Drosophila melanogaster: one gene and its partners. The protein of the gene in region 4 interacts with the protein of the main gene of each other region in a pairwise test. Each region holds a gene or a part of one and is shown on either strand. Other genes may lie near its edges. The genes, in order: CG4073, CG31365, RIC-3 and CG11379.

Evidence for each region.
Region 1: the proteins of CG11379 (region 4) and CG4073 interact in a two-hybrid assay, tested with the Drosophila melanogaster proteins (one large-scale study listed by BioGRID).
Region 2: the proteins of CG11379 (region 4) and CG31365 interact in a two-hybrid assay, tested with the Drosophila melanogaster proteins (one large-scale study listed by BioGRID).
Region 3: the proteins of CG11379 (region 4) and RIC-3 interact in a two-hybrid assay, tested with the Drosophila melanogaster proteins (one large-scale study listed by BioGRID).

What each region holds. Positions count from the first base shown.
Region 1 is NT_033777.3:10,711,901-10,718,226, reverse strand, and holds CG4073 (uncharacterized protein), read right to left. Parts: upstream 3,430-6,326; 5' UTR 3,297-3,429; coding exon 2,415-3,296; 3' UTR 2,326-2,414; downstream 1-2,325.
Region 2 is NT_033777.3:23,122,116-23,129,847, forward strand, and holds CG31365 (uncharacterized protein), read right to left. Parts: upstream 4,308-7,732; 5' UTR 4,228-4,307; coding exon 3,147-4,227; intron 3,081-3,146; coding exon 2,947-3,080; intron 2,887-2,946; coding exon 2,182-2,886; 3' UTR 1,847-2,181; downstream 1-1,846. Other genes in the region: CenB1A (centaurin beta 1A), read left to right, coding at 1-56, 118-1,272, 1,328-1,514; CG31457 (uncharacterized protein), read right to left, coding at 4,593-4,930, 4,990-5,665; hh (hedgehog), read right to left, coding at 6,623-7,296.
Region 3 is NT_033778.4:21,014,028-21,024,739, reverse strand, and holds the start of RIC-3 (RIC3 acetylcholine receptor chaperone), read right to left. Parts: upstream 6,957-10,712; 5' UTR 6,788-6,956; intron 6,596-6,787; exon of another isoform or gene 6,472-6,595; intron 6,009-6,471; exon of another isoform or gene 5,982-6,008; intron 5,678-5,981; exon of another isoform or gene 5,658-5,677; intron 5,582-5,657; 5' UTR 5,354-5,581; coding exon 5,158-5,353; intron 5,001-5,157; coding exon 4,881-5,000; intron 4,654-4,880; coding exon 4,499-4,653; intron 3,748-4,498; coding exon 3,607-3,747; intron 3,550-3,606; coding exon 3,423-3,549; intron 3,240-3,422; coding exon of another isoform or gene 3,219-3,239; intron 2,855-3,218; coding exon 2,607-2,854; intron 2,407-2,606; coding exon of another isoform or gene 2,365-2,406; exon of another isoform or gene 2,278-2,364; intron 1,676-2,277; coding exon of another isoform or gene 1,575-1,675; intron 1,307-1,574; coding exon 1,154-1,306; intron 1,079-1,153; coding exon 986-1,078; intron 765-985; coding exon 615-764; intron 558-614; coding exon 423-557; 3' UTR 1-422. Other genes in the region: Sou (souji), read left to right, coding at 7,540-8,838; CG9346 (uncharacterized protein), read right to left, coding at 9,160-9,552, 9,613-9,974, 10,035-10,287, 10,347-10,530, 10,585-10,712.
Region 4 is NC_004354.4:1,176,906-1,183,498, forward strand, and holds CG11379 (uncharacterized protein), read left to right. Parts: upstream 1-3,259; 5' UTR 3,260-3,358; coding exon 3,359-3,964; 3' UTR 3,965-4,646; downstream 4,647-6,593. Other genes in the region: CG14627 (uncharacterized protein), read left to right, coding at 5,197-6,009.

The DNA of each region.
Region 1 (6,326 bases), on a different chromosome or scaffold from region 4:
AGGCCAAGGCATTTTGGTATTTGAAAAGTTTGGCGCGCATCAATTTGGCAAGACAAACATATAATCGTTAAAGTTTTAATTGTACTGCTCAAATGATGTTCGCTGCCATCTAAATTTAGATTGAACAAAGTTTTGATATATATTAACAGAGTTTGCGTTGCTCAAGAGGGCGGAATTTAGTTCGTATTGATAACATTCCGCAAATTTAATGAAATTATCACCAAGAACTTGTGGGTACAGCAAGCCCCAAGCGATTCATATGGTGTGTGCCTACTTTCTTTAAAAATATTAAGCAAACATTTTACTATGGAGCTTGCCATAACTTATGTAAATGATTTAAAGATACACTTTTTGAAGTCAAAGTAGTTTCTCTGCGGAGTTAAAGCCCCCCAGGGAGAAAGTGGCTTTCAACTTTCATCTATCAGCTACTGCGTCTTTCTCAAGGAATTCTGTTCCGACGTTTGTCGAATAGTTGGCAACTTTCTTCAATTCATCCAGACCCATAACTTGACATGAGCACAACACCCCTCCTCGAAGTCCTGCCCTCGCCAGACATCTGGAAACTATTGACGTGTTCCACGTTTTATGGCATCCGCCTCTTGGGATCCAAGTTGTGCACCCATACTTCATCTTCCTGCCGTTGGCTTATTATATCGCAATGTTGATTTCATGGCATTCTAGCGGTGAATCCTAAGCGTTGTCATAGGGAAAAAAAATCCTGCAGCAGAGGATCTGGCAACATAACATAACACTACTAGTGTGGAAATTTTTTTTTTCAGGATGAAGTTATATTAAAGATTTTTAAATAATTTTTTGACTTTTGGCTTCGATGTGTGGGATAAAAGTGAGGCTGTCCTCAATAACCATGTTCTTTTAGCATGTTTTATAAATTACCTGTTCGCATCACTGGTTGACACGGTCCCTATGGTTGAGTCCGGCACTTGTGAAACTAATTGCCGTAGATTCCGACCAAATCCGTCCGGCATCTTGGCCACAATATGTTGGACAAATGGACAATTTTATGAATTAATTTGATGTCTCGGCTGATTCGCTTCTCGTTATTCGGAGACACAAGGAACAGCCGCAAAAAAAAACTTTTTGCATAATGGAGCGGAGAAAATGGGTTTTTGAACCGAAATGTACGGAATTTCACAGATGTCACATGTGCAGAACAAAGGTTCGAGACAAAGAATTCATTGCAGCTGAATGATTAATTTGAGCTCATGGAGCACATTGCTTTGATGATTATAACGACCATGTTGATGTCAAGTTAATCATTGACCTAACTTTTTATGTCCACCTTGGGCAATCTATTTTCATGACTTATAATGAATAATAAGCTTACCATAAAAGGACGATGTTTTTGTTTAATTAATTGGTGAATATAAACCAAGGAATTTTAACCCTTAAGAGTATTATACACTTAAACCACATTTTAAATTTAACTAACTTTATGCATTAAATTTAAACACTGGCAATGAAAAACCAGTCGCAGACAAACAGCATTTTATTTCAAAACAATTTCGAGACCTTTTATACAAATACTATGCATGTTTTGGACTCACAGAAGCCCGCACTGTTTTACATCCACAACCGGCAAAAAAAAACATTGCCCTTGGACTGCATTTTAATGTCCAACTTGTGGTTCAGTAAACAACTAAAACTCTCGTCTGTGAAAATAGCCCCTCTGGAGGCCATTATCCTGCTGCTGCTGCCACTGCTGGTGGAAAACTATTTTTAAAGAGTTAAAAGCGATTCAACGGAAATGGAATTTATAAAATTAACATAAGTTGAACCCAAACTGAAAATACAACTTTGAGTGGCCCTAGGAGAGGATATGGATGATTTCAGAATTATTGAAGTGAACAAACGAAGGCAAATCCAAAAATATCCTTGCACTGCAAAGGGCTAAGATGGAAAAATTCATAAAAATATGGCTGGGCCCGGGTATTATTTATTTTCATTTCTGCCGCGGGTCCTTTCCGTTTCCCTTTGTCCGGCTGTCTGTGTAATCGGCTAGAAGGACTTAGATAAAACACGAAATGGCCACAAAAAGGATCTTGTCGCTAAGAGCAACTACACCCATACACACTTCATGAATACACATGCAAACATCCTTCTGGATGAGAGTTCGATAACCGGATTCCGAACTGAACCCGGCGGCCTAAAGGCTTGCCAATGTTGGTCAAAACAACTGCACACGTCAGCAAATAAGAATAAATTTGTAAAAAATTACGGAACTATAAAAGCATGACGGAACTGTATAAGCCTGCTGCTATTAGTTAACCAGTTAAAACTAACAATAATAAAGCCACCTAATAAGCTACAATATATATGTATATATAGGAATTTGGGCAATATTACATTTCTTAAGACTATATTAGAGATGATGATACACTTCCAACAATTTTATATTATACATGGTCCACCAAAAACTGCCCAAATCGCACCATAGTTGAGAGTGGGTGAATCATATAGACGAACAGCATGGCCAGAACGGTGGCCTGCAGGACATATTCGGTGCGATCCGTATGCTCGAATCTTCGCTGGTGGATAACGGTGATGGTGAAGAGGATGAGACTAGCCACGTAGATCAGACTGACCATCGAGACGTATCGCATTATATAGCGATTGCCGTTTAGATACACAATCAAGTAGATCGAAACGACAATCGCTATGCAACAGAATGTGAGGACGATCATGAAGATGCTACCGGGCAGTATTTTCAGCGGCAGATAGACGCCCATCAAGTAGAGCATGACGTTCAGGGCCAGCACGAGTGACAGGACACCAGTCATCCAGAGCATCGATAGACGAGCCCACCGGTGGCAATTCACAAATATCACTATCACCTCCACGATGACAATGGCCAGCAGACCATTGCACGGACACTGGTTGGCCAGGTACACGTAGGCCATGATCAGCACACATCCCACGGCCAGGAGCAGCCACACGAAGCTGGGCACCGATGGGCTAATTAGCTCCCCGAAGTCCTTATTGCAGAGCCGCAGGACCACAAGCTGAATTACTGCACTTGCCGATAGAACCGCGTGGATCAAGTAGACCCAACCGAGGTGTTTCTTCCTCAGGTGCACAGAAGAGCGTTGGCGCAAAGGACCCGACGATGCGACCGGGCTCAGCAGGCCCGGGGATTCTCCATATGGTTTCGCAGGCTCATGCGGTGGTGGAGCAGGAGCGGGAACATGAGGTGGTGGCCTGGGTGGAGGTGTTGATCTTTGACCAGTCGGTTTGCGTAGACCCGTCGATGAACGTGGCGTGGGATTTGGCCTGCTCATCTTTCTGCGCGTTGATACCACCACCCCCGTTGTGGGAACCTGCTGGGTGCTATGAACATGTATATTAAATATGAATATATTTGATTAACAAGGCGGTGGGTGTACTGTGGGCAAAAAGTGTTATGTTACAATTTAGATCTACTGAAATAAACGATTGGAATTTTTCTACTGAAACTAATACAGTTAAATGATTGATACTTTTTAGTGTTGATATGTGATGGAATAACGAATCGATTGGATGTATAATTCTGTTAATGAAACCACTGCGCAGTATATGCATACTCATGCATATTAAATGGGAATTATGCTGGCCAGAACTGAAGTGCTAATCAATGACACGTGCTGCGTTGTCACTAGACTCATTAAGATGGCCCACCTTGCACCTGATGATGTGTTTACATATGTATTCAGCTCTGGCGAACTGTGTGCGCTGAGGGCCAACTTTTTGGGCCATTTTGTGGCTGAGGCTTTTACTGAATTTTAATTAGACTCTGCCGCTGAAAAGCCAGCACGTGCAGAAACATTGGCAAACACAGCCTAAAGCCAAACAACAAAGTCAGGAATTAAATAAACATGAGTCGGGCAAAAAACTTGCCTGGAGGAGAGGAAACCAAGTGGTGTCTTATTACCTAGCTTTCTTTAGAATATGTTATTGAGTCAGAGATTATCGCGCTTTGTTCGCCTGCTCTCTAATCCTCAATAATCGATGACAATATGCGTATTTATCTAAAACCGTGCTTACACAAATGTCAGCATCAGGAAATTTGGGCATTCTCGATATTATTACCCCAGTTTGCTGTCATAATAAGCTTTGGCATTAAAAATCCTACAAATGCCTATCAATCGGCCTGCCACTCAGAGCAACAATAACTTTTAAGAGATTTAAACTGACAGTGCCAATAGCCAGGAAAACCACAACACGAACAAATGGCAAATTACGGCAAAGTGCCGTAAGGAAGTCATAGTAAATCCAATTAGAAGGACAATCGGATTTTATTGACGCTCGAATGAGTTGAATTTAGCTGTGAACTGTACAACAGATTTATTGAAGCGGAAGAATTGAATTTATCCTTAGGCAAATACATTTAAGAATACATATGTGACAGCTATATAAATTAGTATCAATACGTACATTTCCCATTTCGATCTATTAATTTATGTTTTATTTATGCTTTCATTGAAAAACCAACCTTGTTAATGCCGCAGAAAATTGATGTAAAATGTAAATGTAATTTACTTATCCAACCAATTAAAACGTCCATCTGAGGTTGTCATGACAATGGCTCGAAATATGAAGTGCCATCAATAATGTCTGTTTGATTGATTGAACTGGCAGATCCTTGTGCATTTGAGCAACAATAATACTTAATAGATACTTGCATTCTATTAATAAGCACTAAGCATTCCCCCTATCTAATCAGGGGTGTCAGCTTACATTTGTCAAATCTTTAGCCTTGAAAGTTAATAATAGGGCTACGTATTAAGTATTCATGGGAAGGAAATTATTAGAGACATGTGAGCCGGGCAAGTGTGCTCAAAGAGGGTTAATTATTTAAAATCGTATTTCTAAATAAAGCAGGACATTTGCGGTAAATATAGAAACGAATGTTTAAGCCCTGTAAAGCACTTACCTACGGCAAAAATTTTAAATTTAAAACACCATTCGGTGGGGGAAGACATTAAATATGCCTTATGTGGCACGTACCTACATCAAAATCATACCGTGGCCCTCCAACCGTGCGACATGCAATTGAACAAATAAATCAGAGGGCTAATAAATATTTAGCAACGATGGTAGGAGCTGCCTAAGGCCGAGGCAAAAACCAAGACTTCCATAAATGCCGCCGACTGAGCCATTCAAGAAGCCAGATGAACGGAGCGAAGGACAAAGCACGATTTCAGGCGACAAAGCAGGGAGTTACATCTGGATGAGTTTCTGTAGCTGTTGCTATTGCCGGTTTTCCAGCTCTTTCAGATTTTCACGCCTCTCCTGTTCTTCCCTTCCCTTTTCGTGACTTTCTGGCTTAAATGCTGTTGCCTTCTGCACCACATTGCGTATACGTGATGTGCCACGACACGGGCTTCCACATTTAACAATATGATTAAAGGCAACTTTTAGCACCTGTTCTGGCTGTTGATTTCGTATCGAGTATTAATTGCAATTTATTTTGTATGCCAACACTCGAGACGACTCGCATGCAATTAAATTATTTACGCATGGGGGGCATGGCGCATTTAAATGCTTATTTATGCATATGTAACTGAAATTGTGTACTTAACGCATGTTAATCGCAAACGTTTGTTTAAGCAGTTATCCTTCGAAATTACTGTATAAGAACGGGAGTAAGGTGCATAGGAATCCGCCCCTTTAAATTTTTACATAATTAATAGACAATAAATTACTTTTAAACAAATGATGATGCAATATGAATGACATCATAGCTATAATTAATATATAAATTTCCTATGTAATGAATTTTTTCTCAAAGGAATAGCGAAACTCATTGTATTTTCACTTCTTCATTATGATTTTTTCAGTTTTCGTTTCCCTCTTAAGGTTTTCTTTAACTACGTCCAACATATTTTTTTTTTGTCCATATTAAGCCCTTTCCGAAGAACAAGAAGCAGCTGGGAATTGTCCTTGTCCTTTTCCAAGTAATTTCAAACCAGTTCTACATTCATAAGGACTGTGTGAATTGTACCAGGAACTTCTAGAACTATTATTTCCAATGTACAGAAAATAAAAAAATTTCCGGACATAGAAAATATTCAAGCTAAAAGGCAGATGGTCCACCTATTTTTATGTGAGCCTTTCAAGCGTTAAGTGCTCAGCGGCGTTTTAACAAGTCCTGGAATTGTTGACAACATGTCAAAGAAAACAATGGTGCAAATAACTATGGTTCCTTTTCTTTTCTCCTTTGTTGAGCCCCTTCTATCATCCGTTTGCAACGAGTTAAGTTCATTAAGATGAAAGAACTAAACATTAATTTCTATCTAGAAGACCAAGTTGTTTTTCATTTAGTTTGAAAG
Region 2 (7,732 bases), on a different chromosome or scaffold from region 4:
TCGCGACCACAATCGACGAACGCACCCAATAATTCGCTGCCCGCAAAGCGTAGAATGTATGTTTGAATCACCCGTATTATCCAGTTTTATAATAATGAATTATTTCCCATTTCTCAGCCACTGGGAAGAGTTCCTGAAGATACCGGGCAACGCATATTGTTGCGATTGCAGGAGCCCCGAACCACGCTGGGCCTCCATTAACTTGGGCATCACCCTGTGCATCGAGTGCTCCGGAGTGCACAGAAGCCTGGGTGTGCACTACAGCAAGGTGCGTTCCCTGACGCTGGATGCCTGGGAGTCGGAGAACGTGAAGGTAATGATGGAGCTCGGCAACGAGGTGGTTAACCGCATCTATGAGGCACGCATCGGCGATGATTGTGGGCTCAAAAAGCCCACGGAGCAGTGCGAGATCGGAGTGCGCGAGGCTTGGATCAAGGCGAAGTACGTGGAGCGGCGGTTCGTCTGCGGTATGCCCAAACCGCAGGAGCTGCTGGCCAGCGAGACAGCCGAAGTGCTGAGCATAGACAGTGGCGGCGTGGTAGAGGACGGCGAGAGTGGAGGCAGTGGTATCGCTAAGCGAGCTACTCTGTCGCTGGGCGGCACGCGAAAGTGGGCGGTGAAGAAACTTCGACGAAGGCAGAAGCAGCGCTCGATCCCAAAAACGTTGAGCGATGATCCGAGCATCTATAACACAGCCAAAACCGGCGACGAGTTGGAAGATGACGATGATGATGAATCCATCAACATTCCCTCGATGTCACTAAGCATTTCACGCGACGATTTGCTTGTGATCGGCGATGACCTGGCTCTTGACAGACTAGAGACTCCCGGCATTCTGGGCAGCGATCAAGAGAGCACCGATGGCGAGTCAGATGCGGAGTCGCCAGAGGAACTGCCCTTCTCCCAGCTAGACGCCAATCAATTGCTGTACATGGCTTCGGTGGTGCACAATCTACCAGTGATGTGCATGGCCTTCGCATTGGGTGCCGACAAGATGTGGAAAAATCCCCAAGACCGGCAACGATCGTTTCTGCACCAGGCCGTCATTTCCGGCTCCGTGATGGCCTGCGAGTTTTTGCTACTAAACGGAGCCGCCATCGATGCTGTGGACGAGATGGGCTACAGCGCCCTGCACATATCAACGGCCAAGGGTCACATCGCCCAAGTGTATTTGCTGTTGAAGCATAAAGCTGCATACGACCTCTCCTCCAGTGACGGAAAGAAGGCTCTGGACATTGCAGTGGACCAGGAAAACGCAGACATTGTAACGCTGTGAGTAAGAAAGCAGAGCTTCAATCCGGCAGATACATAACCATTCTTGTTTCAGACTCCGATTGACACAACTGAATGACGAGATTGGACCCAACGACGAGTACAATGGCGAAGATGAGACGTACAAGAACGTAATGAAGGACTTCTCCAAGTTACCAGCCAGCCAGACGCGAGTTCTGCGCCAGCGGCACGACTCAAATACACTCGAATCGCAGCGCAGCTCGCTTACAAACTCCGACTAGCAGTGGCAGAAGGGCCGCAAGAGTTAGGACCTTACTGGATATTATGGAATAATTTGTTCCAATTATTAGGATAGCGTGATATTGGATTGTTATTGGCTTTATAACGCATTAACCAGGAATGTTAAACGGTTTCGACCTCTAAGGATGTCGTTGCGGGCTTGTTTCCCTTGGTAATCTCATTTGAAAAGCGCTTCCGATTATACAAGAAAATATTATTCATTGCATTTGGCATTCGAATGGCAGGCACGATCGTTCGTTTTCTCTTAGGCGCATTTTGAATCCGTTTTTGGCGATTAGCTTAAGTTTAAAGTATTCGTAGAGCAGTTGAGTTTATTAAAAATACGTATATTTGCCTATAAAATTGTACATCGTCTTATGTGGTATTTATTAAACGATATTGTAAAATGTACGTCTAGCTATATGTATCTTGTTACAGAGCTGTTCCAAATGTTCCGATTTGTATTTGTTTGCTAAACTGTTTAATGCTGCATGTTTCTAAATGTTTTAACGCTATCATGTTGATGATTTTTGGTGCCAACTGTTGTGAGCACTCTAGGTTCGCGAATAAAGTTGTAAAATATTCAGATCAATCAAAGTTGGTCTCTTCAGGTGTAAAACATGGTGGTCCAATCTGCGGTGTATTGGTAAAACATGTCCAGGGACTATTCTAGGCCACAGCTTGAAACTCGTTCGTCTCGGATATGTAGTCTGTGAGCTTGTTCTTCACCTTGTGCATTGTGGTTACATGTCTCTGGACCGCACTGCGATCGTTAAACTGACGGCCGCACTGTTTGCAGGAGAACATGACGCCAGCGTGGGTGACCAGATGGCGACTGAGGCCCGAAACATGATTGAAGCTACGATGACACAGATGACACTTGTGCGTCCGAGAGTTGCCCATATGCACGCGGCCAATGTGCTGCTGCAGGTTGGACTTCTGGGCAAAGCAGCTCGAGCATTGGGGGCACTGATGGCGCTTTACTCCCGTATGGGTGTCCATGTGACGCTTGAGCACTTCGCGCTGGGAGAAGGACAGTTCGCACTCGCTGCACTTGAAGGGTTTCAGGCCCGTGTGGATAATCATGTGGCGTTTGAGCGAGCTGGCGCACGACAGTTGCAGTGCGCAGCTGGGACACTTGAGCGTGCCGCCCTTTCCACTTTTCAGTCCCTTAATGTGGGTGTTGTGGTGGCGCGTCAGAAGTTTCTGCGTAGGAAATGCCACCGGGCACAAATGGCACTGGAACGACTTCACCGTGTCCGTAATTCGACCGGTTTTTGGTTGAGGACAACTGGACTCCTGCTTGAACACCAACTCACTCGATCTCTTTCGTTTGAGGGGCGTCTGCTCATCTCTATCGTTCTGTTCTTTTTCCTACAGATAATAAGATCCAAGTTGAATTCGAGTTCAATTTAAAATCACACGGTTAGTTACCACTATAATGACATTTTCATGGAAGCTGAAGACCTGTTGCTCCTGAGATATCTCCTCGCCCAGATTAAACACGACCACGTCTTCGATTTCCTCTGGCTTTTCGCCACTGAACTGAATTTCGCCGTCTTCTTTGACTAAGCAAAGAATTTAATGAAATGAAAATTTTTTCACATTTTTTTTGCCAAATTATACCCACTTACTGTTATAGGAGGTGATTCCGTTGTCCTGGTCAAATTCGGGAGTGGAGTCCTGGTTTTGATCCTCTGAGCTGGCAGAGTTTATGATGTAAATCTCTCCATTGTCTGTGTGCACTACATCTGATCCAACCATGTTGATTTCCCTGAAGTCTTCACCGCTTTCCGCGGGCACTTCCTCGTCCAGTTCGAGGCCATCTATGTTTACATCGCTATTATTTGCGGGGTCGGTATTGCAGCCCAATATGAATTCCTCTTCTTTTGCATCCTTCCTGGCCTCTGTCGCCTTTAGATTGGCGTCGACCAAGCTGGGTCGTCGCTTTGGAAGAGCTTTAGTTTTTGACCTAGAAGGGGAGGCATCTTCCTTGACTTGCGGCTTGGTCTCTGGTTCGGACCCATCCAAAGACTCCCACCGACCGGCCTTTTTCTCGGTAAGATACACCTCCAATTCGCCCAACAGCATGGCCAGCTGCTCTTTTCTTATGTCCTCGCTCACCTCGTTTCGCAGGTCATCTCTAACCTGGCTGCGCACCTCCTCGGCCAGCTCCTTGCGAACCTCACTGCGCACCTCCTCCGCTAGTTCCTTGCGCAGTTCGGTGGTCAGTTTCGCTCGAAGTTCTAGACGAGATTTGACCAGCCGTTTGTGCATTTCCGCCGCCTGTTCTTCCTTAAAATCTTCTCGCCACTTTTCGTCCTCAAGCTTGCGCACTTTGTCCTGCACCTCGATGAAGGCAATAGAGTCCTCGAACTCCAGCTCGTCCTCGTCATAATCGTCCGGATCCTTGGAGAAGACGCGGCTTCGCTTCCCGAGACCCAGAAGTCGGATATGCTTGCGAAGCTTCTTCTCCGCCCATTGGCAGCGCTGCCGGAACAGGAATGACTTCTCCAGCTGATAGCGGCACTCCTGGCAGATCCTCTTCGGCAGAGTATCCGTCGCCTTGGCGTCCAGTGCGACGCAGGCCATCAGGCGCACGGGTATCGAGAGCTGGGTGTCGTCCTCGTCGAAGATCGCGTACGCATCCTGGTGCTCCTTGAGGCAAAGGCGGCACAGGGTCGCCAAATCGGGATACGACGGCTGTGCATCCATGAAGGCGTCTATTTTTGGTAAATCAACGTATTTACTCGGTGGCGTCTCTGCATCGCAAGCAATGTGACCGCAGACAGGTTCGCTAAAAATACCTCCTCTCGAAACGAAAGCAATACAGTCACACTGTTCGTAAATAAACAATTTGATATATACGGCCCATAAACGTATCATAACTTAATTTATTAATGTAAGGTTTAAAGGTATTGATTTTCATACAAATCCAATGCATACCGAATGTGCATATTTAAAGTTTAATAGAATACAATGACAATTAAAATAGGTGATGGCTTAGTCAAATATGCGTGCACAAAAAAAGGTACTATTCTTATAATATAGAGGATTAAACTAAATTCGTTGTTACGTGGCTACGTCACGGTGTTATTTAGCTTATCCGCTCCTCTTAGACGACAGCGCACACAACTTTTGAAATCGGCGTACGAACTGCTGCATTTTGTCTTGAAGGAACTGTGCTTTCGGCACAGGTTATCGGTCGTCTGCTTGGGGCTCATAAAGCGCACTTTCTTTCGACACGGCGATGGGGTTTTTACATCCTCTAAGGCAGTTGTGTTGGCACCCAGAAAGGTGTCCTTGCTATAGTCGTTGCGCAGATGACTCAGCTGCGGGTCGTTCATGTTGATCTCAACCATGGGCACAGCAACTAGTGGCGTTGCAGCTGGCTGTCTGCTGGCTTCTGGTTCATCGTCTATTACATTTGAGAAATATATAAGTCGTGCAATTGCAAAGTAAGTGGGCTGGTCTTACCCAGTAACTCCACCACGCTGTTATCGCTCTGCTCCCTTAGCTCCTGGCCCATGTCTGTTTCGTAGAAGCCAGCGGTCTGTTCGTCAGGCAGCGGACTGCTTAAGTTCATCTTCATCTCATAGGTCGCCTCATTGCGCTTGCGCACAAAGTACCGTTCCAGTTCGACAAACACGTCGTCCAGAACGCTCAGTCGCAACTGCTGCTTGGCTTCGGGTATGATGACCTCTTCGAGTTCCGCCCGCAGCTCCAGCTCGATTTCCGCCCGCACAGCTTGCTTGCAAGTGCTGAGCAGCTCCTTTTTATACGCGTCGATCTCGCTGCTAATGAGCTGGGCGGCCTGCTGGCGCCACTGGGCATTGTTCTCGGCGCAGCCAGTTTGCGTGCATCCTTCCCCGGAGCCCCGCTCCTCCTCCACTTCACTCAGCTGCGACTTGACACCCTGCCGCTGCAACGCCTTGTGGCGCCTCAATTTGCGATCGGCTGCGAGGCAGCGTCGTCGGAAGCAGTGCATCTCCTCCAGTTGCAGCCGACACATGGTGCATATGTGCTGTGGCAGACCGTCGCCGGGCTCGATCTCCAGCGATGTGCAGACCATTATCTGCAGAGCAGTCGATCCATTTGCACCGAAAACGGGGAAATTGGGTTCCTTCGACAAGCACAGGCGACAAACATTCATGTTGAATTTCAAGGCAATTCGGAGCGTGGCAGCCGGACACCTGATTAGGCACGATTCGGAATGATGGACAATCTAGCAATCTTTCCAAGCAACCAGTTTAGAATATGAAACAAAAAAACATTTGAAGACAAATAACTAAAATTGGAAGCGGAGGAATTTCCTACTAGGAAACATCAACAAGTCTAGCCGATTTGTTATCGATATTTTCAGTGTGGCCATGCGGTTGAGAGAATGCATTTTAGTATTTCAAGGCTGGCTGCTCTGCCATTGATGTGCCCGTATTTCAGCAAGGCGCTTGGCGGGAGAATTTCAAATAGTCAAAATTTTACAACGATACTATAGCGCTCATTTGAATAACCTGAAATGCAGCAATAACACACATTCATTTATCAAACAATTTCTTTATATTTCATTAAATATTAAGTATAAATACGCAGTTAACTATTAAGTATTATATACACAATTACAATAAGATATTCAGTCACTATAATGCTTCTTCTATATACAAAGTACGATATATATTATATCAAAGGGCTTGAACTCGCCGCCGCACCTCAATAAATTATGCAATTCAATTCCATGATAATATACAGTAACAGTCGTCTGTGTTCTCCGGGAGTTTGCCGATTGATTTTCTCAGGATGATTTAGGATCTGCGCCGAGGATTGCCTACTTACAGCTAAAATGTTTGCAAAAACAATAAGTCAAGGACATTTAACAGTGTTTTCATTTCGTTTCGCATCGTTTTGATTTCATACTCATTTGCTCTTTGCTTTATCGCTTGGGTGGGGTGTTTTGTGTGTGGGTTTTTGATTTGTGGTGGTAAATAAATAGTATCGATCGATTATTAACGATATTCAACATTGAAATACATCAATCATTAGGCATATACATAACTACAGGATATAATACAATACAGGATCGTTGGGATCAGGATCGCTCTTCCAGGATTCCATCTCAATCGTGGCGCCAGCTCTGCGGCAGAACGTAGTCCTTGACCTTGTAGAGCGCATTGGCATACCAATGGATGCCATTCTGCTGCTGCGCCGAGCTCACCACCTTCGGCGAACTGTGCAACTGCTCCTTGGCGGGCAGCCACGCCTCCAGCGTGGACAGCAGGCGCATGGGAGCCAGTCCCCAGTGGGCCAGCGACTGGCTGTTGATCACCGCATAGCAACTGGCGGCCACCGAGTTGACCACAATGGTGCCCTCGCGGGTCAGCGGCGCGACCACGCCCTTACTGCGCACACTGCCCACCTTGACGACTCGCTGGGGCCTCAGCTCGCCCGTCTCCACATCCCGTACGAGCACCTGGTTCTTCTCCTCGATGCGATCCGCAAACACAAACGTGAGCTTCTGGCTCTCCGGCTGCCAAACGCTAACCAGGTGAGCCGGCGTCACCGTGAGCACTGCTCCACCGTCCGTGTGCAGCTGCACAAAGTTTTGCATCTGCTCGAGGTTGCGGTCCATGAAGAGGATCACTTCGCTGTAGACGGCCTGTCCGTTGGCGGTCATGCTCAAAACACGATCTCCGATAGAGAGCTCGCCGAGCGGCTTCCGGACTCCACTCTCCAGCAGCGCTGTGCTCTCCGGCGTGAAGCAGCCGTGCACGTGGGAACTGATCGACGAATCTGCAAGTAGGAGAGGAAAGAATTTGGTTAGAAAATTGGATTTTAAATAAATATAAGGTGCTATTTAAATATTCATAGAAAGTTATAATAAATATTCGTATCCAGAGTAGTTACACGATTACTTTAAAGGCTTGCATGGGTGTTCATGTATTTTACACAATCTAAAATCTGATCTGCAGATTGCTTGTTTGGTTACTGAGAGCCGCCCAGGTAATGGCATTAGTTTGCTAATCTAATTTGGCGTTAAGCATCCAATTGCCAAGCCCAACAAGTCAAAAAGGTTTTCACAGATCCGGGGCTGGCCCGTTGCAGCCCAATGTGAAACAATGGACTCGAAAGGACTGAAAGGACTGCCTTTTGCGGCTCGCCAACAAGCCAGGAACCTAATGCGATCGTTGAACAGAGATCCGAGATCGGAGATCAGCAATCTGCGATC
Region 3 (10,712 bases), on a different chromosome or scaffold from region 4:
GCTTAATGGTAGACTAGTTTTGCATTGACTTTCAACTAAGAGTATTCACACAAAATCATGCAGTTCACAAAGACGCGGTTTTCTAAACGAGCTAAAGAGTTTTCTAGACATGCAAGTTTGGCTTTAAGTTTTGACCGAAAATGATTAAGGTTTTCAAGAGCATAAAGTTTTAAGGTTTACTTTAGAGGGAGTAGACACAACGTTGGCGTTTTAAAATCAAAACGAAGATATCAAAACATACAATATGTATATATATACAAATCAGATATCAAATTATTGGCAAATCTGTTTCGTGGCAATCAGTCATAATGTTCGTCGTTCAACGAAATTAGCAACGAAATTTCACTCGGCCCTTGCAATTAGTTAGTTTCGTCTGAATCAAGTCGTGTTCATTGCCAAATTATATATATATAAAAATCGATCTACTGCTCGTCGTGTCCAATTATTTCGATGTCATCAGCCAGAGGACTTTCCACTGCGGATTTGCCTGCATTTCCATTTTGTTGATTTGCGTCCAAATTAATCAATGACAATGTCATTCTGCTGCTAAGAATGATCTGCAAGTTAATTAAGTTAATTAATTGATATAGTTTAGTAGAATGGCTTATCCATACGGCTGGTTCCTCGGCTGAGCCATTGAGCTCCGAGTCGTAGACTTCTTCGCGTTTGATCTGGGAGTCGGCAACCAAAATCTGGGACTCATGGGCCAAAGCGCCTTCCAAGTAAATGGACTGCGGCTCCGGCAAGTTGTCTTCCAATTTGGACTGAAATCGAAGAGGGATTCTATTTAGTATTTCTGATATACATATTTAAAAGCTTCAACACATATGCGCAGAGGAGGTTGAGAGCGTAGGAAACATCCCAGTTTAATCACTTTTTTTTGTAGGGATATATTGAAAGCGTTAGGGTAGCAGTTAGTCGAAACTAGTCTAGTTAAGTTGAGAACTTGAAAGTGGTGGGGGGTCTGTGCGTCAGTGGCACTTACATGTTCGCTTGGCGCTCGGAAAACAGGCGTTGGAGGGCGTCCAGTCCACTTGTGGCCGCCCTCGCAACTGGCTGTTAACTCCATGCCGAGTACCTGCACCAATATTCGATTATTTACGGCAAAGATCTACGTACTCAAAGGTGCTATACAGGGTATATAATGGCATACCGTCAGTTCCTGTTCAGCGCTTAGATCCCGCCGTTTCCTGGCTCCCTTCGCCACGGTCTCCTGCTCCGGATTTTGGTCGGTGCTGCTTGCATGTCCATTGGATAGGTTCTGCTTGTCTAGTGGTTGCTCCCTCGTTTTTTCGTTGTCGTTTTTCTGCACAGGATACACAGGATATAATACGGTTAGAGAGGACACTCTCGAAACAGTCAGTAGAATGTGAGAGCTAAGCAATTCTATACAGCCTCAAAACGCAAGAAATCAGAAATCGAACGCATTAATTACTTCAATTCGTTGTGGTTAGGTGAAACGCAACAAAACTCAATTAGTCGAAGGATCTTGGTTAATAAACAAAAAGATTAAGTTCTTGTTACAAATTATATGTTCAAGGATTGCCGTGCCGGACCCTTTGAAGGTCTCTAACCTTATTCGAATCAGTTTCAGTGTCGCTCGTCGCCCTCTGCTTGTCTTGGCCATTCAATTGCTCGTCGGCCGCGTCTATCAAACCTTGTATGGCCGTAACAACTAGCCCCATGAAAGTACAGGGTATCAATTTGGGATTTACATTCATTTTTTTTTTTGTGTTTTTGCGAGAAACATGAAAAACGTAGAAACGACACAGAGAGTGAATATTTATATAGTTGTTTCTTTGTAGCTCTGAGTATGAAATGATGTTTGCGATTATCTTTATTGGCAATGTAAAGTTACGTATAGTGTTCGAATAGATTTCGAATAAGACTGCTTTGAATCGTAAAATATGTCCCCATCATAAGAGTTTAGTTTAGTTCAGATCGAGAGTACTCAGTGAGATGCAAACACATTTAGACTGGGTTCGTTAGTAGATACGAGTATGTGAAAAGATATGTTTATATATATATATATATATGCATATATCGCATGCCGACAGCAGACAAGCAGGTTAAATTAGAAACAGAGTCGGGAGAATTCCGTTCCATGCACTTGTTAGACTTGAAGATTAAGGACAGAGTGACATAGTTTTAGAACTGAAGGCTTTTTTTGGGGGGGAGGATGTGGCAGGGGGGTAAAAGAAACCATTCCGAGGATTCAGCTATTCACTAGAAACCAATTGAAAACAGAAATAATCTAGTTGACTTTGTTCGTTGTACTTAGTTGTGATCTGAGTTGTTGTTGGTCTGATTTTGGTCTGTTTTACTGACTGATTCTATGTGAACTGAATGATGGTTATTATTGTCTTAGAAGTTTGGCTGCCGCTTGAGAAACTTGAGGGCAATCATCTTGAAAATGAGAACACAAAAGAGATCAAATATTAATTCAAATGACAGCGAGATGGTCCAACTGAAATCACTACGATATATGATGTGCTACTAGATGTATCTGAGTCGCGTTGTATAGCTATATCTGTATCTGTATCTGCTTTTTTCCGATTCGATGACGATGGTAGGAAGCTACTGGATACTGGATGCTGGATGCTAACCTTTGCCTCATACTGATCGGTGTTCATTTCGGCCACCAACTGGGCCATCGCCCGCTCCGTGCTCTCGAGTTTCTGGCGCAGCTTCTCGATCTCCATCAGCTGCTCGGCCTCCTTCAGCTGCTGGTGGCTCTTCAGAGAGGCGGACAAACTGCTCGCCACCTCGGTGGCCGACACACTGGCGTTGTACAGCTCCTTTTCGGTGTCCTTGGCGGCCGGCTTCTTTGCGGCGGCAGTGGCGGTGGCAGCTCCTATAAAATTGTCGTACGGTTTGGTAATCAGGGCCGGAAATCGAATCAATCGAGGGACTAACGAAACTAAGGAGTATTTACACGGGTGCAGGAGTGGCAACAAAATAAATGTATATATCCATGGAAGCGTGATCAATTCGGGGTTAGTATATATATATATTTATAAATAGTATATAGGCACACAACATCTAGAATGAGTACATCTAGGTAAATGAAATAGAACACATAGTCGCTACGATACTACGATACCAAATGAGGAGGACATATTTCAAAACTCAAAAGGCCTTTGTCGAGGTCTAGAAACTCAAGATACGAACGAAACTCTATGGTCATCTATGCAACCATCTATATATATCTGGCTTACTTGTCTGATGCTCTCGCCAGCCTGATACCGTGGCATGATTTTCGGTGTGCATGGGTTTTTTTGGAAGCAGAAGAGTACAAAATGCGATTTTTTTTCGGTTAGGATTGAATCGTGAGTGCGGTGGCTAGAGCGATTGTGTGTGTGTGTGTCCAACTACGAGTGTAATAATCCGGAAGATGGCATCCGAATTGGCCTGGCACTCACCCAGTTTGCTGCCGCCCAAATCCTCCACCTGGCTGTGGTTCTGTGATCCGAAGACCTCCTGCCGGAAGGCAGGATTTGGAGGCGCCGCTCCGTACGGATCATTGGGAACTTGCTTCTTGAACATAATCTGCATGTAAGAGTTTTATAGTATTATAATTACATATATACGATCAAAGAGAGTCACCTTCATTAGGGTGTAGCCGAAGAAGACTACGATGCCAATGGTGTAGAGTGGCATTAGGAAGCCCATGCTGCTGCCCCGCTGTTGTGGCTGATGCAGTGCACCGGCGCCCATGGGTGGACGCATTCCAGGAATGGGTCCAGGCTAGAAAGTACATACATATGTCAAAAGTTACTGAAATACAATAGAATGCCGCCAACAATCAAGGTCATATTAAATGTATCAGGTATACGCCCCGGTGGTTTCTTAAGTCAATTGTCTTTAGATATTTTTGAACTGATCGAATATGTATATTCTATTGTCCTATGTAATCATAAAAATTACGTATCCGCCGCGATGTATATTGACATAAAGATTACTCAAGACAGTTGTCTTCGAAATCTTTTGAATTGATGTCTTTGTAGGAGAAGGGAATCGATTGTGTTTTATTGACAACCCATGTAATCATTAAAATTACGTATCCGCCCCGTTGTATTTTGACATGAGGCGAGGACAGCTGATTTGTGCTCCCCGGCCATTCTAGCATTCTAGTAGCGATGAGAGCAAAATGGAACTGGCGCACTGAATTTGGCACAAGTTCAATACGCAGCAGCACATTCGGCCGATCTCCCACTCATCATTTACAAATTCTTTTTTTGTGTTTTCTTTAGCGCTGTCTCTTGCCTTCAATTTGCGTGCAGTGTCATAAAAACAAAACCCGAATCCGAATAAAATAAACGTTTGGCTATTTATAAATGACTTCCAACGCGAGCGCGGATATGTCTCATCCCGCCGTCATTATAATCACATCGACCACAGCCCGCCGACCAGTATAACTATATATATTATAATTATGGATTTATCGTCCGGAGAATAATGCACACCGTATGGTTAAATGTATAGTAGCCCAACTCACCCGTCCGTCGACAATCCGCGGAGGCGGATTACTGGGCGAAGTCTTTCGTTCTAGAATCGGCACGGTGGGCGTGGCGGGAATGGCGCGACCCCGCTCCCTCATGGCCTGGTATATGGATTCCGGATGCAGGTGGGCGGGACGCTCCTGGCGCAGACCTGCGACCACAATGGATTCATTAGTAACACAATTAAACTATCAAATTTTTAATTGACATAAACACTACATTTTAGAAACCCAAACATTAATAAACTCATTAATACCGTAAAGGTTAGGAATCTAAATGTATCTCAATCGATTGTTTCATGTAGATACAATCTTGTTAGTAGAGCCAAACACCGTTAGTAAAACCAATAAGCAAATTATAAATAATCGAGCCACATACTTATTTCGCCCGTGTAAACATTGATTTGCTTGCGATACAAATGCGGACCGAAGGGCTCGACAGTGTCCTTCTTCGTGGCATTCAGAAACTGCTCCCTGTCCAGGACGACATCACAACATCCTACAACATCGACCGGACAACAACAACACCCACATACGGAAATCAAAAGAAAATCATGATGATAATTCATAAATAATAAATGATAAATGAAATTAAGTAAAGTACAACATTTATAAGCCCTAGCTCCTAATGTGGTGAATAGAATCTGATGACTTACCGCCTGGTGCTGCTCGTGGATCCTTGAAGTTTGGCTGGCTTGGAGGCACTCCTCCGAACATCATGGGATGGAAGACCTTTGGCCACAGGATGGCAATGCATCCGATCACGGTTACGATGATCAGGGCGGTCTTCTTGGGCGTCATGCCCTCCTCGACGAGCGGAGCTCTCGGCTTGGATGTGGCTGTAGCGGGCATTTTGGCTTGGTAGCGGATTCCGTGGGCTATCTGGATTCGTTTGGCTATGGGTTCGTGGTTAAAGCTAGTCCCTAAGGCAACTCTGCTATGTGTTCCTGATCGATTTGGTTCGTTGATGGCTCCCTGCGAGCTGTTGACTATGCGCTGTGTTTCTAGTTGCTGTTTAACTTTGGCATTGGCTCATTTTGGCTGGCTAATGGTTGATTTGCTGTACGTTTAAAGCATTATCTGAAAGATACATAGATGCATAATCGGTTACACGCTACAGTTCGCTGATTCCGGCTTTCGTTGGAGTTGTATTCACATCACTGATCGGTCACGAATCGCAGCGCAAAATGCTGTATACGTTTGAATATTGTTGCGGGAAAACAAAAAAGTTTATTACATAAATAGCGGTCCCGATCTTTTTTATTTTTAGCTCGCGCAATTCGCTCTTTTCGGCCCGTCTAATAATTCTTTATTATTTTCACTTTTCCCACCGCACAAATCACAATTAACGACCGCATAAATAATATTGAACGTTTCTCCAAAAGAAAATGCTTTCGTATCGCTTTTGGAAAACGGTTTTTGAACGACCAAGGGTTCGAAAAAAAATGAAAACAGAAAACTGGACAGAGCGACTGCTTACGCAAAGTTCGAATGTTGTTCCCGAACTGGCCAGGCAAATTTTTGAAACTATTAGCGAATTTTCGGCAGATCAGATCTGAAGACCCGACACACCATTCGGGCGCGCTTTTCCCCATAATCGTCGTCGGCCATTATTTTCCTTTATTTTTGATGAGACAAGTGATTTGCAGCTTGGGCCTGCACCGGGAATTTCCGAGAGCTACGCTACAGCAGCCGACATAACATTAATGCTCTCTAATTCATTTCGGAAATAGATTTTAAATCAAAATACATATAACTGCTTGGGAAATTGGGCAAACTTAATTTGAAATATTTCAGCAAAAAAATTTTATAATATAATTTTAAATTTAATTTTTTGAGCTATTGCTGCTGTTTTGCTGACCAGCACTGTGTGCGAAATTTCGTGTTTTCATATTTTTCATTTCGCAGCTTCTTCGCTCTTGTTATCACACACGCACACACACACTGCCAAGTGCTATGAGTTTTCCGACCGTTTTCCATTTCGCTTTCAAGCGCACTGACTGAAAAGTGGCGAAAGTAAAATTGTTTTTACTATGCACGTCTGTTATTTGCACAGCATCTTCTTATTTCCACCACTTTTATTTTAAAAATTTCCCTCTTCTTGTCACTGTCTACATTAATTTGGAAAACGTTTTTCGAGCTCTCTGCGCTTTTATTTTTGGAGGCACAGCATTTGTAATTTGGGTTCAATGCCGTTCGGCTTAAGACTCATCACTTATTTTTAAAAATTATGAATTCAAAGTGTGGAGATTTTGTCCTTGGAATTGCTCTCGTGTTCTGAGGTACCTTTTAAATAATTATCAGTTTCGTTTTTAAAGACTAACACCTTTGGTTTCAAAGTTCGTTTTCTTATCTAATTACGCTAATTTCAAACTGTTTGTTTGTCGTTATAAGTTTCTCTGCCAGAAAGCAGCAGCAATAATAATTGATTTTTCAGTCGACCGAACGGAGATGGGCAGCATTGGCTGTCAATCGATGCATGCGAGTGCTATCGATACTTTTCTATCGTTTAAAGTTAACGGATCCTTTACACTGATAGAAGGCTTATGGGATTTAATAAATTTTTGTATATTTGTAATTGTTTTAAATGGAATCACATTATTATTAATATATAAAGGTCAAATATATATTTGGTTCGTAAAATGGTTACTTTATTATGCATTATTATGATGTTAAACTAGACTAACTATATATAACTAAGGATCAACTAAGGATCCAATATAACGGTAATACGTAAAATGCGGAATATACAAATATTAATTCGCTCAGCACTGTTGCCCTTTATCGAAATTAAAATTATTCGATTTATCGATAGCATCGTGAGTGGTCCACCCAGCTCCAATGTTTTCGTCTTCTTTGTGTTATAAAATTAACAATTTATAAATACGCATTTTCCGCTGGACCACCGAATATCGTCGTGACTTTGAAGAATCACAGTGCTATCAATCCTCGAAAGCAAAAGGTTGTAAAATCGAAAGTGAACGCGCGCCTGGCGTGACTGGTTTCTAGGCTTTCACCCCACGAAACTGGAGCTAACAATGGACAGCGAGTCGTTGGCCTGTTCGTCGGTGGAGAAGGACCTGACCCGAGTGGTCAGCAAACTGGAGCAGCTTCACGAGAACGCAGAGGCGGACATCGGAGATATAGCCACACAGATGTCGGAGCTGGTAGAGGTTCTCAGCAGGGCGGAGCAGCTGGTGACCACTCTGAACTCGAGCACCCAGGTGTCCCAGGACGATCCCATGGGCGATGCGGTGAGCATGCAGGTGGAGACGGAACCGACGGCACCACAACGCCTAACCGAGCGCCAAGTGGAGAGCGTCCGGAATGCTCTCGCCAGGTGCCACGAGCGCGTGCAAAAACTGTCCACGGAGCACCGCGATCTGCACGGCTCCATTTCGAAGATCGGCAAGGCCATTGACCGCAACTTTAGCGCCGACTTCTCGTCCACCATGCGAGTGGACGTGCTGCAGGACGAGGAGAACCTGATGTTGCTGAACAAGGCCATTGCCAAGCATTATTGTCGCCAGGGCATGGACGATGTGGCTCGCACGCTAATCCGCGAGTGCAAGATGTCGCCGGAGCATGCCCAGGATGTGTTCGACTCGGAGCGCGAGTTTGCCGACATCTACGGCATTTGGGTGAAGATCCAAAAGCGGGATCTGACTGACGCCCTCAAGTGGGCAAAGATGTACTCCCAGCAGCTGAGTGACCGCCACTCGCTCATAGAGTTCCGGCTGCACCGCATGCGTTTCATGCAGCTGGTCTCCTACGGATTGGACTCGCAGCGCGAGGCCATCTCCTACGCTCGACTGAACTTCAAGAAGTTTGCTGTGCGCTATGAGCACGAAATAGCCAACTTGATGGCCAGCTTTATATATCTGCCCAGTGGACTGGAGAACTCGCCTTACAAGCACTTCTTGGGCCAGGAGAAGTGGACCGAACTGTCGTTCATATTCCTCAAAGACGCATGCCAACTGCTAGGCATTAGCAAGAACTCCGCCCTGTCTGTTGTGGTCAATGCCGGATGCACTGCCCTGCCCGCCTTGCTCAATATCAAGCAGGTGATGCAGTCGCGCCAAGTCCTTGGCATGTGGAACGGCTGCGACGAGTTGCCCATTGAGATCGATCTGCAGCCGGAATTCCGATTCCACTCGATCTTTGCCTGCCCCATATTGCGCCAGCAGACTTCCGAGGACAATCCGCCGAAGAAGTTGACCTGCGGTCATGTCATATCCAACGACGCCCTGCACAAGCTGAGTGTTGGCCACATACTGAAGTGCCCCTACTGCCCCGTGGAGCAGAATGCCGAGGAGGCTGTTCGCATCTACTTTTAAGCCACATCTATGTATTCACCTTATGATAATCACCACTGCTTATATGACCAGGCTCAGGCGGTTCGAGGACTGGTGTTGGTTGGCCGGCTTTCCTTAACAAAACGTAACCATTTTAAGATAGCTTGCTTAGATTCATGTTTTTAGACAAATTCGCAGAGCGGAATCGAACTGCCTGGGCCGTCTGTTTTGCGTGTGTCCCACTTCCTAACAAACGATTTAGATTTAAAATTATATATACTGTGTATTTAAAACAAACGACGAAAGTGTTTTTATGTAGAATCCATGTTTAATTAAATACAAATCGTCCGAAGAGCAGACACTCTAGTGCCTATGTTTGTGCTTGTGCTTGTCGCTGCGATGTCTCGGCGGCGATGGCTCTTCTCTGCGAGAGGAGCGCGAGGAGGTTGGAGAACTGCGTGATCGCGACGATCCGGAGGCAGGAGTTTCGTAGCGGGAGCTGCGAGACGACCGCTCTGTATACCGCTTCGGTGAACTGGACGGACTACGCGACCGATTGCGTTTCGAGGATTTGGATGAGCGCGAGGTTTCGGGTGAATAGTCACGTCGTTTGGATTCGCCACCAGAGAACGGCGAGTGGGATCGTTTGCGGGAACTGCTTCTGAACAGCGCTGGACTCTCACTCACCTTGGAGCTCTTGGATTTTATGTGCATGTAGCTGAGCGGGGAGTCTACAGTTGCCTCAGATCGCGAGTCCTGTTCGTTCGCAAAGAATTCAGTTGTTACATCCGACTTACTGTATGTTACAAATCTTACCTGTTTAAGTAATCGCTTCCGGAATTGTTCCACTTGTTCGGGGACACTCCAACCTGGTTCCAGGCGGCGCTTTCCGGACTCCAGTTCGTCCTGGTACTGAATTGCTTTCGACTCAATGTCTCTTAACTTCTGACGCATCTCGTCGGTGTACTTTTGCGGATTGTCTTCTCCACTGTCGTCGTCCGAGCTAAAGAACTTCGGTGGATCTGGCGGATCGAGAGTGTCCCATTTGCTGGTGGTAATCGCCTGCGCTTCTACTTGCTGGGGATCAACTGTCTCCCACTTTGAGGGTATGAAGCCAGGCAACTTAGCCGTAGATTTGGTTTCTTTTTCCAACGGTACACCGTCGAGATCATCATCCACTGGAATTAAGGATTATTTACTTAGTAGTAAGAAGGTTTAAATCACTTTCTTATGCTTACATGGTATGCCATCGATTTCATCGAGGTATTCATCTTTCTTAGGTGTGTCACGCTTTGGAGTACCAGCATCTGCATCAGGTATGGCTCGCTTCAAGGCGCTCTTAAGCAAAGCAGCTCCATCTAGTGGCACTCCGTCTAGATCCTCGTCGTCCTTTTCCTCTCCGGAAAGGGGCGCACCGTCGATATCTTCGTCCAGAGCCTCATCAAATCGCGTTTCCTCGGCTTGAGGTGAGTTATTGACTGGCTTGACGTACTAAACACAAGATTCCATTAGACTACATGCACAATTTGAAATGAATTTCATTAACTAACAGGTTTGCCCAAGAATTTGGCCGTCAGCTGGGCCATAAAATCCTTGGGATAAATGGTCCATTCCTCCCATGTGCGGATAACATTGCAGACTCTGGATTTAAAGCCCTCAGCTTTCAATCTACTCTCGATGTTCAAGTAGTAGTTATGCAGGTTATCAAAGATGTCCAACAATTGTTTTTCCACACTAAATAATAGGGGATATTTCAATGTGTATGCTTTGATAAACATATATACATACGATTTACGGAAGAACGAAGCATTCGCAACTTTAACAGTGCAGTTGTGCAGTATATCTGAGATCAGATAAAGTCGAGCAATCTTCTTTGAAGCCAATGTATTGATATTTGACAGAGACTCGGCGATGCA
Region 4 (6,593 bases):
ACGCAATATCAAACACCAAGTATCCACTTTTTGCGATCGATTCTCGCGCGGCGGAATAAAATCTTTTTCGTCGTCTGGTGAGTCGGTCTGGCTTTAACAATGAACATTTTGCGCCGCACTACTTCAAAACTGCAAACTTTGCGCCGTAATTGCCCAGAAAAGTAACACAAATGAAACGCATTGACGCTTAATTACTTTTGCTAAATGGCACGAGCCCGCCAGCCATCCTCCATCCTCCATCCCAACCCCTCCACGTCCTCGTCCTTTAAAAGTACTTTTCAAATGGAGTGGGCGAGGCAAACAGAAGGGAAAACGAGTGGGGATGGCCTGAAGGTGGAGCTCCATTTGCTCCATGCGGGTGTTTGGCTTCGGTTACGCTCATTTCTCAGCAATGCTTCGAATTTCCACAGAGTCTGTCTATAGTCCCCTCCTGGCAATTTACGGCATTCACTTGCTGACTGACAACGTCCAGAATGGTTGCTGCCACAACGCGTAACGAATCGTAATCAATGATTGCATTATGATTCATAAATGAAGCCCTAATTCACGCGCATGCAAGCAACAACTGTATTTACTCGTAAATCACTCGCATATGCATAGGTCATTAGAAATAATCTGGATCATATGTAGATACAATATTGTTGGAAGCGGGAAGCGGGCGGGTTGATATAAAAAAATATATATTAATTTATATTATTGCATCATGGTACTTCTAATACGGTATCTTTTAATTCCGCACCCCAAAACACATTCCCCTGATTGCAATCGTGCAGCGTCATGAACATGTGAGGCCTTCAGGGTGCTGCGAGTCGGCACGATTTGACTTTTGTCGACGTCACAATTTGGAGAAGTTTACCCACTTCTGGCGCCGCACAAACTTGGCCCAAAAAGTTGCCCTGCCACTTGGCAAATGCAAGTTTTTGATTAAAAGCCACCACCGCCTCCTGTTCCCACTTTTTTAGTTCCCAGTTCCAGCAGCCAGCAAAGTTGTGTGCCAGGTCTAGGGCCGGAGAAATTGTTAATTGAATGCATTTGGGGTCCTTGCAATGTTTGCCTGTGCGTGATATGGGGCTCTTTGCCAAGAGGGAGCAAATGAAGAAGCAGGCTGAGTTGGTGGCAGGCTGGAGGTGCCCAGGAGCAGCTGCTTCCCAGCTCGAAGTGCTCGCCTTCTCCCACTTAGCCAAAGTGCGGCGCAAATGCTTTGCCATCACTTGGCTAACAGACAAAACAGTATTGGTAGCGCGTTGTTTGCTAGGTGAGTCAAATGCATATATTATGCGAACAGTGTTGGTCCCACACCAGACCAGTGTTGAATAACTGATTTTCTTCGTATTTACAAATTTCTATTTACCCACATGTTCCACACCTCTCAGTGTTGCCGAATCATAGTGCTGATCCCAGAAAATTGTTGTGAAGGAAGCACAAAAGGGTCATTTAATCGCAATGTGGTGGCAACATGTGCCCCAATTCTGGAAACATTTTTGAGGCTACCTAGAGAACCTCGAGAGCATCCCCATTCCTCCCTAACGGATTTGTACAGGTGGTTGGGTGGTTGGTTGCATTAAAAATGCATTGGCCAACTCGTTTATTGTTGCTCCTTGGCAGAGCTTTGGTTTACTTTTATTTAGACGAGCTATTCGCTGGGAGAGCCTGATGATGCAAGCTGCAGCTGCAAGGATTCCACTCCATTTTGGGAGACACACACTTTTCATTAGCTCAAAGGAAGAAGCATGGATCGGAGCTCAGCTCAGGTGGAGAAGGTAAAGCCCTTAAAGTTAAGCGCATGGGAGCGGAACAAAAGTTGCCTTAAAGTCGTTGCCAGTCAATAATGACAGAGGATCCCAGAGGATAGGATGCCGTTTGGAAATGGTAAAGCGGATGCGGACGGGGATTCGAATCGGTGCTGAAGCTTCGGCCACGCCCACTCCGTGTCCGTGGGCGTGGCAGATGAATGAGAGGAGCACAGCCCCCCGAAACCCCGAAAAGAAAAGCAGAAGCAAAAGCAGCTGCAGATTTTCTATAAAAGCCGAGGCTAACGAGATTTGATGAATTGCAAGTCTTTGTGAATGAAGCTACAAGAAAGCTGCAGCATGAATAGCCCCGAGGCACCGCCAGGCCGCCTCCCACTCCTTGCGCTTTTCCATCTAACCCAGGTCCACATAAAAAAAACCCATTAAGTGGTTTAAAGCAGTGAAAAAGCGCACAGCACACAACAAGCAACACAGCAAAAGAAAAATGCAGTTGACATGAAAGCCAGCCAAAACGGGGCGATACAGGGATACAGGGATGGGGGTGGTAGGTCGGTAGGTAGATTGGTAGGTGGTGGAGTCAGACAGATGAACAGTACAGAACAGCACAGCACAGCACAGAGGAGCGGAGCAACAATGCTCACCCAGAGATGAGATAAGAACAGCCGCTGGAGGAGGACAAAGCAGCTTGACGAATTACTTGGCAGCTGCTCCTAGTGAAATCCCTGGGAGAATCAAGGAGCAGCGGGCGGGGCGGGGGCGAGCTGTGCGGGAAAGGACGAGGCGCAAGAAATTTAATTTGACCAACATTTTGATGTATCAAGTTCAGTTGAAGCCGAAGATTTATGACTTGCTGACAGAGCAAGCGGAGCAGCATCACCAGGATTGGGACGTCATGTCGGCAGAGAACAGTGCGGAGCAAGTGCATGCAAGAAATTTTATTCCATGCCAACCAGCCTAATCATTTTATAAATCATCTTGGTTTACCAGACGTACATATATATTATTGTACATATAAAGATCTGGAAGAGCTTATCTATGAGTTTCTCCATGATCATGCTCAAGCTTTAAAGTCCAAAAGTTGGAGCCGCAAAGCTTTGGCCGAAACAAAAATGAAAGTAAGCTGACTACTATCGAGCACATTTCCCATTTCCACTTGCCTCACGTAATGAGCCCACTGAAAATGAGGAAAACAAGGCCTTGACATCTGAGCCTGTTTGACTTGTGGTGATAATTGCAATTGGCGCGGTGTCTGTGACTTCAACTGTGACGCAGACAGTGACTGTGATTACACAAAGAGGAAACCTATGCCATTACCGATGGGGTATTCTGCCACGCAAGAATGCTGTATAAATCATAATATATAAATTATAAATTGAAAAGATAACATCGAATATATTAAATATTGCCTTTAAAAACTTTAACAGAGTTTACAACTTGCTTTTTGTATCACTTCTTAAAATAACAAGGAATACTTGTACACAAGTGTTCGGAGTTAACCAAGTAGTGACTGCTGCTTTAAAAGTCAGTTGAATAATTCAGTTTAAGGCTTTCTGACCCGAATTTACTCCCGTAAAACTGGAAGTGTACACCTAGGAGGACATCTGGAGATGGCTCGACTAATGGCCTTGATCATGGCGGTGTTGCTTCACTCGGTACTGGGCATCTCGTACTACTACTACTTTCGCGAATCTCCCGGCTCCGCTGCTCCTCTCTTGGGCGCCTGGCTCTTTTCCGCCTGCGTGGTGACCCTTCTTCACGGGGTGAGGATGTTTTCAAGTGCCCTGCCCGCCGATCAGCGGTTCAGGAATGGGAATCGAAACCTTCGCGGCAATGAGTCGTCCTGGGCATCGCTCTTACTGGAGACAGGCGTCTGCTGTTTGGTGCTGGATCTGACCCTTAGCAAACTGTGGCATCGCATAGAGTCCCTCTGCCAGTGCGCCATTGTGGGCATACTCCAGGCCTTGGCCGTCGAGGAGCAAACCTTCCTGGTCTGCGAGTACTGGACTTTGGGCCTGACTACCGGCCTGATCGGCGCATGTCTTCTGTGGCTTTCCCTATGGGCCACCGCGTTGCCCCAGAAGCTCCGCTGCGGGATGCTCGACTGGCGTCGCACCCTTCATCGCCGCTGCTCCGCGCTGATCTTCGGAAGTCTCGAGCCCGGCACTCCAATGCAGACCCAATCCCAGGGAAGCGCACAGAGCTTTGCCAATTGAGACGGAGGGGTGACCATTCCACTTCCACAGCCATATCACACTACCTCAGTCAATAGCTAAATTTATGGTTCAAATTATACTAAAAGCGTTTTAATAGGCACAGTGGGACACAACGGGCTGCATCATAAATTGAATTATGAATAACCATAATAGTAAATTTCGATTCAAAGCGTAGTTTCTTTTAGCTTCTTTAAGAAAAAAATAAACTCAAAAATCGAACATATATTAAATCGCAAGACCACTTTCTGACCGAATCCATGAAGCCAATTTGAAGCGGACAACTACCGGCCAAACTGCCAACCACTGGGGGCTGTCATCCCCCCGAAAAAGACTTGTAAACTCGTTAGCCGTAGCCGTACCCATATGCAATGCGGAAGAGGACCGATCCGAGATCCAAAAGCGACACGCCCCCAAACAACCGATTCGGTTTCGGTTTCGGATTCGGAAGACGGAACCCAGCGGCTCAAAGTAAAGCAAAGCAAGTCGATCGAAAGCGAAAACGAAACCATTACTCTGATGCGCGATCGATGGCTGTAAACTTGAACTTGAAGCGTAGCCAAAAGCGATGGACACCACGACGGCAAACAGCAACTGGCAACTAGCAAATAGCAACTGGCAACTAGCAACTTGCAACTTGCAACTAGCGACATGCAAGAGCCTGGCACACGCAACAATGCCGCTGAAATGCTTCCAAGGCAGTGCCAGCCAAATGCTGTTGCTTGCTGGCGCGCTGTCGTGTTTCGCACTGGTTAAAACTGCAGCCGCAGCCTGTTGCCAATTGCGGGAAATTGGTCGGGTCGTCGAGCGATATAAAAGCCTGGCTGGCAATGCAGCCGTGTTAATCAAAGCGCGTCGCTCGCCAGGAAAAGTGCAAGTGTTTTCCACGCTCCCAGGCAGCATTCAAACTCAAATCGCAGAGAAAATTCAGCGAGGTGAAATACGCATACTTTTTTTTTCTGTGCTTATAATAAAATCGAAAGGTGTTCCAAAATATCTGACCTTCGTGTTGCAGAATTAACTAAGCTGCTATAGCAGATATAGTTCAGTTACAAGTGCAGCTTACGATACAATTTTTCCATTTCGGATGCACTTCGCGTCCTGAAAATCAGCTTCGGGTATAAGCAGCAAAATGTTATTTTATAATATCCTTTGGGTTAACAAGTAAAATATATTATCGCAAATATTTTTCATGAACACGATCCCTTAACTTTTCTCTTATTCGCTACGTGTAGATGCTGTGCCACCGACACATTCACATCCATTGCCAGCTGTTCCTGCTGCAGCTCCTGGTGATGCCCCTACTTCAGGGTTCCCCCGTTTCGAGTCCGGAGATAGCTAGTAAGGGTTCCAAGTCCCCGAATGGCCTGCCACAGGTGCAACAGCAGCAGCAACAGCAACAGGAGGCCCACCTGAACTCGCTGAGTGCCTATGCCAGTGGCTATGACATGGCCCAGAACCAGGCTCAAGTCCAAAATCAGCTTCAGGGCCAGATTCCATCACAAACGGATCCGGCATTCAAGCCCTCGTACAAGATGCCCGAGATGGAGACCAACTTCACGCCCATGCAAACGGCGGGAACACCAAGTGTGTCCAGTTTACCGTCTACTCCCATGCTCATGCAGTATCTTCCGGCCCAGGCAATCCAGGATGGATCCGGAAACTCGGTTCAGTACCTTCAGCTGATACCCACCCGCCCGATCATAGTGCCCATTTCGCCGTACCTCTCGGCTGCCGCAGCAGCCAGCGGATCTCAACCTGCAATCTCCGCCGGCGCACAGCCAGACTTCGGAGGACGAACGGCCACTGTTTTGAGTGCTCTGCCGCCCAACTACGCAGCTCTGCAGGGTTACGCCAGTGGGTCCATCAATCCAGCCGCCGCCTTCCGCAATACCTATCGGATCAATCGCGAGGCCAAGGACAAACACTTCCCGCCCTCGTTCTCGCTTAATCTCAACGAGTACTTGCCAGCCGCCTCGTTGGGACTGACCGGAGGCCATGACGCCTCCGTCAATAGTCCACATGTGTATCTGCGGACCAGGTCATAGGATGTCAGCTACCGCCAAAGTCTCGCAACGTTCGAGCCTCTTTTTCTCTTCCGGAATAAAGCCTTATATGTATATATGTAAAGTGAGCCTGTGATTATTTTATGCAAGTCTATATCCCACTCAATTCAATCTAAGCCTTTCCACCTTGAAATGTTACACAATACGATACGAGTACAACCTACCCGACCATCTTGTGATTTTAGAAATTGGTTTTCCCATAATTCAAGAGCCGCGATTAATATAATGGAAAAAGCAGCAGTATAATGGACAGTATATAGCACATATGGCAAAACAGTTTGCTTCCCATTCAATTTACATAACTCCCTTTTATCTGAGTCACTGGTGTCGTTCTTCAGCGGCCTTCCACCTTTCGTTTCGTTTTCACACCAACCCAAACACCGCCGTGCTAAGAAGACCCAACAAACCAACCTAACGAAACCCAAATAAACACAAATGAAATCCAGACGTTATCGTATCTAGACTGTTTATTTGCACAGCGCCAAATAGGGGACAGTGAGCAAACAAACACACCTTTTAGGCTGGAACCCCCAGCCGAAGGTCGTCTTGGTCTTGTGCAGAATGCA